Linked DNA regions of Canis lupus familiaris. The protein of the gene in region 1 purifies or fractionates together with the protein of each later gene. This does not show direct contact. Links are inferred from orthologs where the notes say so. Each region holds a gene or a part of one and is shown in the gene's direction. Other genes may lie near its edges. The genes, in order: HAT1, ASF1B and NASP.

Region 1 (3,751 bases):
TTTCTTATAAGCATAATTGCTGGTCAGCTATTGGCTGACCTACAAATTAGGTGGTTTTGTAAAGAAACAAGTCTCACCATTTTGAAAGATTATTTATTTTGAAATATTTTATTTATTTATTAATGAGAGAGAGAGAGAGAGAGAGGCAGAGACACAGGCAGAGGGAGAAGCAGGCTCCATGCAGGGAGCCCGACGTGGGACTCGATCCCTGGGTCCCAGGATCACGCCCTGGGCTGACGGCGGCGCTAAACCACTGAGCCACCCGGGCTGCCCCCCACAGGTCCATTTTAGCTCTCTGCAATAGCACTGTAAAGCTTATTAACCAACATTCATTGAGACGGGGCATTTTAAGGGTCTAGACAACCTTGGGGAGTATTTATGGATATCTAAATATCTTCTGGGACAAACAAGTGTCAACAGTTAATGAGGTACTAATAAGCCCTAAGGCCCGAATCAGGAAGCATCCCGTGATGTGGTTCAGGCCACTGGGACTTGAGACAGACAGGTAGGGCAGAGCGGGCGGCTTGCGGTATTATTAGGTAACAATTTCCGCGCTCCAAATGGTTGCCTAGTAACCGTTAGTGTGATAGTAGGATCCCTGACTATTACACTGTGGGCTGCAAGGAAAACGCATGAGCAAAGAAGAACAATGTCAGACGGGAATCTATGGCAAAAATAGAAACAAAATAAACGTAAATGTCTCCCGCACCTGCAAGTCAAGCCCCACATTTTACCTACATGTATACCTAGGCCTCAGGTGTCTGTACAGGCCAAAGGGGTAAGTTTTACTACCAGTCTCCGAACCCTGGCTGGGGAAACAGACAACAGCATTACCGGGTCTGCAACCCCAGAGCTGTCCTCGCGGGAGCCCGCGCGCATCCTTCTAGAGACGGCCCCTCACGCGGCCTCCTCCGCGGGTTCAGGCCTGCAACGCGGCTGACGGCGCTCGCCGTGGCTAGGCAACGGTCGGAGCATTCCCCGCGGAGTCGGCCCCGCCTCCCGAGGCGCTTCCACCTCCCGGCGCCTCGAGTCCCCTCCTCTCATTGGCTAGCGGGCCTACCAGGGGTGGGCGGGGGGATGTGCGTCACGCAATGAGCTCACTTCCGGCCAGGGAGCGCGCGGGTTGATTCGTCCTTCCTCAGCCGCGGGTGCTCGCAGCTCGGAAATGGCGGGTAAGTTCCCGGGAAAAGTTTACCAAGGGGAGGGGGCGGGCAGGTTTGGGGAAGAACGCCGAGGCGGTGGTGACAGTGCCCGCCTGGAACTCTCGGGCGCCGGCCTGGGTTCCAGAAGGCTTGCGGCAGCCGGAGAGCACGGAACTCTCAGCCCAGCTCCCTGTCGGCCGAGGTTCGTGCCCCCGCCCCCAACTAGTCGGGGTGCTGCGCCGTCTGCGGAGAGCTCGGCCCCGGCCGAGGGCCGCGGCCGCCGGGGGAGAGCGTCGCGGGGTGGCTCGCAAGCTGCCCGATCCTCGCGGCCTGCTTATCCGCTCGTTCCCTTTCCCCCCTGCCGCCCGAGCCGCAGCGGGCTGCTTGTGTTCCCGCCCGCCGGGTTTCGGGTTGGGCTCGCCCTCCTGCTCCAGGTCTCCCTCCACCTCCCTTCGACGACAGTCCGCTTCTGAGCTAGCGCATCGCTGCCTTGCCCCGCACCGGGGGCTCCCCTTTGAGTCTTCGCAGTCGTCTTTTTTTTTTTTTTTTCTTAAATCTCTCGCGCTTTAATATTCCTGGGATCGATTCAGATTTCCTTTGAGAAAGATGGTCCTCGCATGCTTCCTTCATCTAAACTTCTCTTAGTATTTTATGCTATGATTTTCACGTTCAATTCTCTTTTTTTTATTTTTATTTTTTTAAAGTCTCTTTAGTTTACAGCGTTTAATACTAATCATTACTATTAAGACTGTTCTGGTGTGAGTGTATACTCCCCCCCCCCCCAGTTACATATCTTTTGCAGTGATGGACAGTTTGTACTTTTTTTTCCGCCCCCAGTGCCTTCCTAGTAGTCTTACTACAGTTCCACGGATGTGCTGGATAGACAGGCTATCACGTGAGCTCTATAGATATTTAAAGAAGGATTTTTTCTACCAGAGAGTGACTCTGGGATCTTGGGGGTGCACTGGCGCTGTAAAAGAGGGGGGCATATGTATTTTGTGCGGTGTGCACGTAGTAAGACTTACCCCTAAATTTGAACCTGTGCTTCACCACTTAAATAGTTGGGTGCACTTAAGCAAGTAAACCTCTCCCGAAGCCTGAGTGTTTTAATATGAAATGGGGCGGATATAGTATCTAATAGATCTGTGGGGATTTAAGCCAATGTATGATTTCAAACACGTCAAGTTTTGTGGTTTATATATAACTCCTTGAAGTGGGTTCTGTTATCCCAATTTAATAGATTAGGGTCAGAGGAGTCAAGCAATGTGCTCTAGTTCTAGTTCACACATCCCAGTAAGTTAAGTGACGAAGGCTGGATGCGATTCCAGGAATTCTGACAACAGACTTCATCTTAGACTGCCTCAAATGTTCCCTATTTTCTGTTTATGTGTGTTTTAACCACCTGCTGAAGTTCATGGCATGTTTATTTCTGCACATGATTTCCTTTTTCCTGAATTTCTACAAATTTTTTTTTTCATTTTGTCCGGAGGTTTATTGTCATCTTTGCTTGAAAGTTTATCTGAATAATGATTGCTTCCATTTTTAATTACTTGTTACATATATTGATGGGTAGCTACGATCTAGTAAAACCATTTGGTTTCCAGTAGCCTGTAGTTTATGACTTTGTACACCTATGGTTAAAAAAACATTTGTTTAATGCACTGAAAATTTTCTTTCCTAACCCTGTCCCCATTCCTTCTCTCTTATCCTAGAGATAACCATGGTTACCAGTTTCTTGTCTGTCCTTCCTGAGATTATCTATGCATTATCAATTGATGGTTTTTTAATAGTTGATCTAAAATACTCTGGGTAGAAGTTTTCAAGTATTAGAGATAAAATGCTATTGTAATTATCAAAGGATATTCTCATCTTAGGTCTTGGTTGAGCAGTGGTACTCTTTTTTATATTTTTAAAAAGCTGCTTAGGTATAGGTCCTAGCAGATAATATATGTTAGTATTAAATATAAAGAAATGTCAGTAGTCATGTTACTTTTTGGATTTACTAATTTATGTAAAGCAAGCCTCGTTCATACACCTCTGGCAAAAATGATGTTTTTCCTGTTGTATAACAAGGCAGTCCTACTCAATACATTTATTTAGGAATATATGGAGAATGACCTGTGCTTTTATGATCTATTAGCATTAAAATTTTTTCCTATTATTCCACTCCTAATAAGAACCCTCTCTGTGGGTTTGACTATTTAAACCATTTCAACAAGACCTTCTGAAAACTTTTCCTTAGGATTTGGTGCTATGGAGAAATTTTTGGTTGAGTACAAGAGTGCAGTGGAGAAGAAGCTGGCGGAGTACAAATGTAACACCAACACAGCAATTGAACTAAAATTAGGTATGTATGCTATTTCTAAGTGGTATTCTGTACTGTGTGTTCATATATAATCTTTTTTTTTAATTTGAGGTAGAATTTTATGTAAGAGCAGTTCATGTAAATGTGTAGTTTTCTGCATGTATTGAACACATTCAGATTTTATTCAGTCCATTATGTCATGGAGTGGGTAGATGTTTAAGAGGTGGCGGAGTTTACATCTAGGAAGGACAGCATGGCAAAAAATGATAAGCGTAGGTGTTCTCAGGCTTTTGAAGCTATTTAC
Region 2 (3,202 bases), on another chromosome or scaffold:
CTGTTTGGGATCCTCTTCTCCCTCTGTCCCCCACCTTCCCCACCCCACCAATTCTTAGTTGCTCTTGCATGTGCTCTCTCTTGCTCTCTCTCAAGTAAATAAAATTTAAGAATAAATAAATATTTATTTATTTTTAAATATATAAAAATCAAATCCTTGCCTACCTCCCAGTCTACCGCTCCCACCCCAGTCCAGGCAACCTCATCCCATCCCCAAACGCCTCACCCACCTGTAGCCAGGCCACCAGCAAGCCCACCTGCTCCACTCCACGAGCAAGGCTGGCTTCCTGAGCATTCAGCTCATGCAGCCACACAGGGCCCGGCACCTGGTATAACGTTCTGCTGTCGCTGGCTAAAACTTGCTAATTTGTGAATAAGGGACCCCATGTCTCGTTTTGGTTTTATTTTGTACCAGTTATATAGCGGGTCCTATCCATAACAACACACCCCAAATGTGTCTGCCTCTGTCCTCTCCTTCCTGGTGTAAATCGCTGTCTGCACTCTGGGTTGACTGTAACCTGCCCAGTCTCTGCTCCCACAACTGCCCTCCTCCCATCACAGCATGCCATTCTTTACAGACCACAGGAGTGATGCAGCACTTACCTCCTGTTAGACATTCTTGCTCCTTCCCAAGCCCTTAACTGGCCCAAAAGACCCTGGGCGCCCTGGTCCCTACCTGCCCACTTGTACAGCCTTATCTTATGCCACCCCTCCACCCCCCCTCACTACACTTCTCAGCACTACATTTACTTCTTTGTGGCACTTGTCACACTGAGCATTTTACAGGCATTTGCAAGATTGATTGTGTCTTCCCCACTCGATTAGAAACTCCTGTTGTCAGAGACCATACCTTTTGGCTCAGTAAATATGTGTTGCTTGAAAATCATTGTGTTAAGTGGTAGAGGTGTGGCTGTACGATCAATGCTAAGGCACGGGGTGTGTTTCCTCTAGGCTGATGCCCCCAACCCATCCCTCATCCCAGAGACTGATGCTGTGGGTGTGACCGTGGTCCTCATCACCTGCACCTACCATGGACAGGAGTTCATCCGTGTGGGCTACTACGTCAACAATGAATACCCCAATCCTGAGCTGCGGGAGAACCCACCCCTGAAGCCAGACTTCTCTCAGGTGGGGCCTGTCTCTGCACTTCCTGCCTCGGACAGGCTGGCTCTTTGGCACCTGGGGGAGTTGAGTCATTGGAATTGGGAGCCAAGGTCACTTCTTAAGGTTTTCAAGCCCTGCTCAGATCTTGGAGCTCCAGACCAGAACCAGAGAGAGAAAGGTCTTTGTTTCTCAGAAGCACGCCTGGCAGAATTGAGATTAGATAGGTCTCAGCCCTAAATCACAGTACATAGGCACTCCCGGGAGTTCTACACATAGTTGTTGATGGTGATGGAATAAGTAAGCTCTGTTCTTCCTGGCCTTGGGGCAGGGTCTTGGGGTGCCCTGGCTCTGTGGGAGTAATGACGGGGCATGCTGACAAGGGTTGACATTCCTCTTTCTGCCCCAGCTCCAGAGGAACATCTTGGCCTCAAACCCCCGAGTGACCCGCTTCCACATCAACTGGGACAACATGGACAGACTAGAGGCCATAGAGAACCAGGACCCCACCCTGGGCTGTGGCCTCCCCTTCAGCTGTGCTCCCATCAAAGGCTTGGGTCTCCCAGGTTGCATTCCTGGGCTCCTACCCGAGAATTCCATGGACTGCATCTAACTCGAGGAATCCAGGCCCTACCTGGGCCCAGCCGGGACTGTGGCCAGTCTCCTAGCACATCTGGAGAGGGCAGCTGGGCCTCCTGGACAATCCCACGGAGGCCATCTAGAGGACTTTGGGGCCATCAGCTATACCCAAGCCAGACGTGGTTCTGAGGAAGGAGCAGGCCTCAGGTCTCTCCCAACACTGACCCAGAAGGATCAGCTTTTACCTCTACTGCCCAGGCCTGTAAGAAGCAGGTACTTCACTTTTTAATTCTTTGTGACATGTGTCTTTTCTGTCTTACACACACACTATAAATTCCACCTGCAGGCCTTTCTGCCACCATGCTCCTGTGAGTACCATTGACCCAGAGCTCTTCCCACAGACCTCCCTGGCTTGCCTTGAGGATTTCTTGGTCAACGCCTGGCAAGGCTCCAGGCCTGTTGAGCCGAAGGCTCTGTCATTCCTGTCCCTCCCCAAACATCTGAGCAAATCCACCCAGCTTTTTGGAGTCACAGGCAAGGAACCAAGCTTGGTTAGAAGGTGGACTTGGACACAATTTCTGTCCTCCTAGGATAGTTTTTAGGTCTTTTAATCCAACAGCCTCTGGAAAAGTCTGTTCCCAAAGGTATGCTCAGCAGGATGCTAAGGAATGATGGTTGACTCCGTACAACCACCTTCCTGTCCTCTCTTAATTGGATCTGGCTTTCCCTGGAGGCTGCCATGGTGGGAAGGTGGCAGGTTGGTGGAGTCTGTCTCAATGCTGGCATCAGGGCCCCTCTGCCTGCCTTAATCTGCCCTCTGCGAAGACCTCATGCTCTTGCAGGCACAGGAAACCATAGGGACCCTGAAAACCTCTCCCCTTGCCATGCTCCCTGCAACACCCCATTCCCTCGCTGCTACGTGGATGCAATTGTGATTACAGTTTGTATATTAAAAGGTTTTTATATTAAATATGTTTGGTTGATCTAAAAATAAAAAGCACTTCCTCTAGACTGATTCTGCTTTTATCTTAGGTGGGCTGAAGCAGATTTGTCCATCTCTCTTCATGATGTCGTGAAGGGGCTCTGGCCCCAGCCAGTGGGCTGACCGTCCTTTGTTCCCTTGCTCAGCTTCTTACCCTAGTCTTAATTGGTTACATAATTGTACTCCAGCCTGAGGTTCAGGGAGGGGTTTTTCTTTGTCAAAAGTTAAGCAACCCAGCTGTTCTGGATTGAGCATAACCAGTGATTTTTTAGACTTTGACCTTGACCCACAGGAAGAAATTAACATCATGCTCCAAGGACACACGCAGCAACACTTTTATTAAATTTTACTTAACCTTACTTTGTAACCATACAGCCCAGTAGACTGGTTTGGCTGGTGAGCCATTTCCCTGTAATTCACAGAAGTGCCCTGACTCTTCCTTCCTGGAAACTGGTGGACCTAGGAACATGGGTGCAGATAGCTGCCTGATAGGGTGCACATTGTGTAAGTTTAGGCAGAGCAGCAAACTGGCTTATAGACC
Region 3 (3,651 bases), on another chromosome or scaffold:
TCGCGCCCTGGGCCAAAGGCAGGCGCCAAACTGCTGCGCCACCCAGGGATCCCCTAGAGCGAGAATTTTCAAAAGCACTCTCAGAACAGTCATCCTCAACAAGGACTGAATGAAGGACAATTTGGAAACACTACCGTATGAAAATGTTTAGTAAATAAAACAGGTAGTCTTAACTATTGGAAAGTTGTGTATTTTTCACTGGAGTTTATTAACCAAAATAAAATCTATTGAGGGTACACAAACTAGCAAATATTTTATGCCTCATTTAATCCAGTTCTGGTAAGTTTTTTAATTTTGTAGGTCATTTTGATGATTTGTCAGGAAAGTCTTGCCAGAATGTTTTTAAGCCAACTAGAGGAATACGGGGTAGATACAAGGTTTGAGAAATATGGCCCTATGGTAAAGTGAATATAAATTGATCTTTTTTAAAAAATATTTTATTTATTCATGAGAGACAGAGACGCAGAGAAACAGACAGAGGGAGAAGCAGGCTCCATGCAGGGAGCTGAATGCGGGACTCGATCCTGGGACTCCAGTCCAAAGGCAGGCGCTAAACCGCTGAGCCACCCAGGGATCCCTAAATTGATCTTTTTTTTTTTTTTTTTTAAATTGATCTTTTGATAAGAGTCATTGGTGCTTTTTAGGCAGGTGGATGAGGGGTGTGCTTTTTTTTTTTCTGAGTGCTTTTATGGCCTTAATTTATATTAGTTTTGCTCACTGCTTTTCTTCAATGAATACTTAAAAGTTTATATTCTCTGCACTTGATTGTTTTACTGTTGCTTTTATAATATAGCACTACAGTTTCTGTTGTAGAAAAACCGTTAGGTTCTAACTATCATACCTTTGGTGCTTTGTCCTTTTGTTCTAGAATGGAGAATGGTGTGTTGGGAAATGCCCTAGAAGGTGTGCATGTGGAAGAGGAGGAAGGAGAAAAAACAGAAGATGAATCTCTGGTAGAAAATAATGATAACATAGATGGTACGTGGAGTTGCGTGTGACGTTCAGGAGATGCGACGTTTATTTCTTGTGTACAAGTGATGGGAGTAGGTCTCTCCCTGTCCTGGATGGTTTCTCCTAAGTTGCATTGGGTCGTACCTGCATCTGGTGGAGACTACAGTGTGGAGATAGCCAATTACTGAAATTGACAGCAGGCTTTTGTAAAAGGAAAACTTAATTTCCCCAATAAATGTGGTCATTTAAATTGACATTTTAAATATATAGCAACTTTAAATGTTTTTCTAATGCAAATATTTAAAAGTCTGCGCAGCTCAGTTATTTTATTTTAATTTTTTAAAAGATTTTATTTATTTATTCATGATAGACATAGAGAGAGAGATAGAGAGGCAGAGACACAGGCAGAGGGAGAAGCAGGCTCCATGCAGGGAGCCCAACGCGGGACTCGATCCCGGGTCCTCAGGATCGCGCCCTGGGCCAAAGGCAGGCGCCAAACTGCTGAGCCTCCCAGGGATCCCCAGCTCAGTTATTTTAATAGCAGTACTTCTGGAGTATTTTTACATTTTTGTCTAAGAAAAGTAACTTCTTAGTGGAGTATGGCTACTAGAGTTTTACATATTAGTTGGAGGTTTATAATGTTTAGAGGAGAGCATAAAGCTTGGCATCTCTTAACCTAACTGATAATCAAAATGCTCAAGTAAAAATAATATTTAAGGAGCTTGGGTTTCTTTTGCAATAAGTTGCTCTGCTATCTGGGACTATTCCCTTTGCTTTTCTCAAGGGGGCAGATAATTTTTTAGGCCATCTGCTAAAATTTAAGCCAGGCTGTTTGAGGGTTTAAAGGGAATGTATTTTTAGTTTCCATTTATGCCTTTATCACTAAATTCGAAGACATGTTTATGCTTCATGTTCTTTAACCATGTAGAGGAAGCAAGGGAAGAGTTGAGAGAACAGGTTTATGACGCCATGGGAGAAAAAGAAGAAGCAAAAAAACCAGAAGACCAGTCTCTGGTAAAGCCTGAAATTGATAAAGAGCAGGAAAATGAAATGGAGAAGGGTGGAAGAGAAGACATGGATATAAGTGAGCCTACAGAGGAACTACAGGAAAAAGTTGAGTCCACTCCAGATCAGTTAACTGAAACCACTGAGGCAAAAGAAATAGCAGCACCAGAAGGACTGAATGAAGCCAAGGTCGCTTCTGGGAAGCCAGAACAGGAAGCCCCAGATGCTGAGGAAGGAAAATCAGTTTGTGGAACTGACGTGCAAGATGAATGCAGAGAAAAAGGTCAGGAGAAGCAGGGAGAAGTAATTGTGAGCATAGAGGAGAAGCCAAAAGAAGCTTCAGGAGAGCAACCTGTTACAACTCTTGAAAAGCAGGATACTGCAGTGGAGGCAGAAGCAGAGCCTATAGATTCAGCAGTCAAGCCAGTGGCTGGGGGTGGGAATGAGCCAAAGGAACAGGTAGCAGCTGCCTCTGAAAATGAGCCAGGAAGGGCTGTTCTTGAGCAGCTGGTAGGGCAAGAAATGCCTCCTGCTGAAGAGTCACCAAAGGTGACAATAGAGCTTGCAGAGGCCTCAGCTGCAGAAGCTGGGTCAGAAGTCTCTGAGAAGCCTGGACAGGAGGCCACAGTTCTCCCTAAGGATGGTATAGTCAATGGATTGTCAGCTGCAGGAGATCAGACTCCTGTTGAACAACAGACTAATGTAGAAGAACTGACAGAAACAAAAGATGGCTCAGGACTAGAGGAGGAGGTCAGGGCAGAGTTGGTTCCTAGCCAGGAGGAGGAAACTAAGCTGTCCATAGAAGAGTCTGAGGCAGCTGGAGATGGGGTTGAGACCAAGGTAGCCCGGGGGGCTCCTGAGAAATCGCCTGAAGACAAAGTTAAGATAGCTGCTAATGAAGAAACACGAGAAAGAGAAGAACAGATGAAAGAGGGTGAAGGTAACCGGGATATGCAAGAGCTGCAGTGGGTGGAGTACATTCTGGATTTGACTCACTAATCATGGGTAAAAGTCAGCCTTCCATTCAGGATTTTCCGTCTGCCTTTGGATTAGAAAAGGGCTAAATGAAAATGGGGATAGCTTAAGAAGATTGTGATAAGTTGAGCAAGTCAAAATGCAAGTCTTCAGCAGGCTTATAAACTAACACTTTTACTAACTGCAAAATAGGCCTTCTCTGTGATTTCTGAGACTTGGCTAGCTATCAGTAACTTGTACATACTAGCCAATAAAGGTGGATGGGGGCTGGTGGAGTAGGTAGGGAAATAGTGGGCTAGGCTGGCAGAGAATGCTGAATGGATGTTCACTTGCATGCCTCTGGATTATTTAATTTACTGTTCACATGGTTCCTATTCTCCACTTTAGGAAGCAGGATTAGAGCAGTAGAATCCAGTGAATTGGTACACTTAAGCAGGCATGCCATTTAAATGAAGGCAGTTAACCACAGTGAAAGAATTCTGGTGACTCTCTTTTACTTTTAGTCTTCAGGAAGTGTTCAGAGGCTTATTTGCATTAGTTTTAAATTAGCCTCCTCCAAAAGATAACAAAAAAATTAACATTTAGCCCTCTTGCTGCTTTCCCCCTCATTTCATGCTTGCTTTGGCTGCTAAACTGAAGTTTTTATTACTTAGAACATAAACTGTGGGATGCTTTGTGTAGTATTACTGGTTTAATTTTGATTCAATTCCATCAAGATGT

What was found.
Region 2: the proteins of HAT1 (region 1) and ASF1B purify together in Homo sapiens (affinity purification with mass spectrometry; 6 studies listed by BioGRID and IntAct, counting the BioPlex papers as one, with this or other methods). This does not show direct contact. The link is inferred for Canis lupus familiaris from reciprocal best matches to the Homo sapiens genes HAT1 and ASF1B.
Region 3: the proteins of HAT1 (region 1) and NASP purify together in Homo sapiens (affinity purification with mass spectrometry; 3 studies listed by BioGRID and IntAct, with this or other methods). This does not show direct contact. The link is inferred for Canis lupus familiaris from reciprocal best matches to the Homo sapiens genes HAT1 and NASP.

Annotation. Positions count from the first base shown.
Region 1 is NC_049257.1:16,620,756-16,624,506, forward strand, and holds the start of HAT1 (histone acetyltransferase type B catalytic subunit), read left to right. Parts: upstream 1-1,022; 5' UTR 1,023-1,165; coding exon 1,166-1,172; intron 1,173-3,384; coding exon 3,385-3,489; intron 3,490-3,751. Other genes in the region: SLC25A12 (calcium-binding mitochondrial carrier protein Aralar1), read right to left, coding at 835-879. UniProt on the Homo sapiens protein: Histone acetyltransferase that plays a role in different biological processes including cell cycle progression, glucose metabolism, histone production or DNA damage repair. Coordinates histone production and acetylation via H4 promoter binding.
Region 2 is NC_049241.1:48,802,550-48,805,751, forward strand, and holds the end of ASF1B (histone chaperone ASF1B), read left to right. Parts: intron 1-950; coding exon 951-1,127; intron 1,128-1,509; coding exon 1,510-1,713; 3' UTR 1,714-2,690; downstream 2,691-3,202. UniProt on the Homo sapiens protein: Histone chaperone that facilitates histone deposition and histone exchange and removal during nucleosome assembly and disassembly. Cooperates with chromatin assembly factor 1 (CAF-1) to promote replication-dependent chromatin assembly.
Region 3 is NC_049236.1:14,842,739-14,846,389, reverse strand, and holds part of NASP (nuclear autoantigenic sperm protein), read left to right. Parts: intron 1-868; coding exon 869-978; intron 979-1,879; coding exon 1,880-2,896; intron 2,897-3,651. UniProt on the Homo sapiens protein: Component of the histone chaperone network. Binds and stabilizes histone H3-H4 not bound to chromatin to maintain a soluble reservoir and modulate degradation by chaperone-mediated autophagy.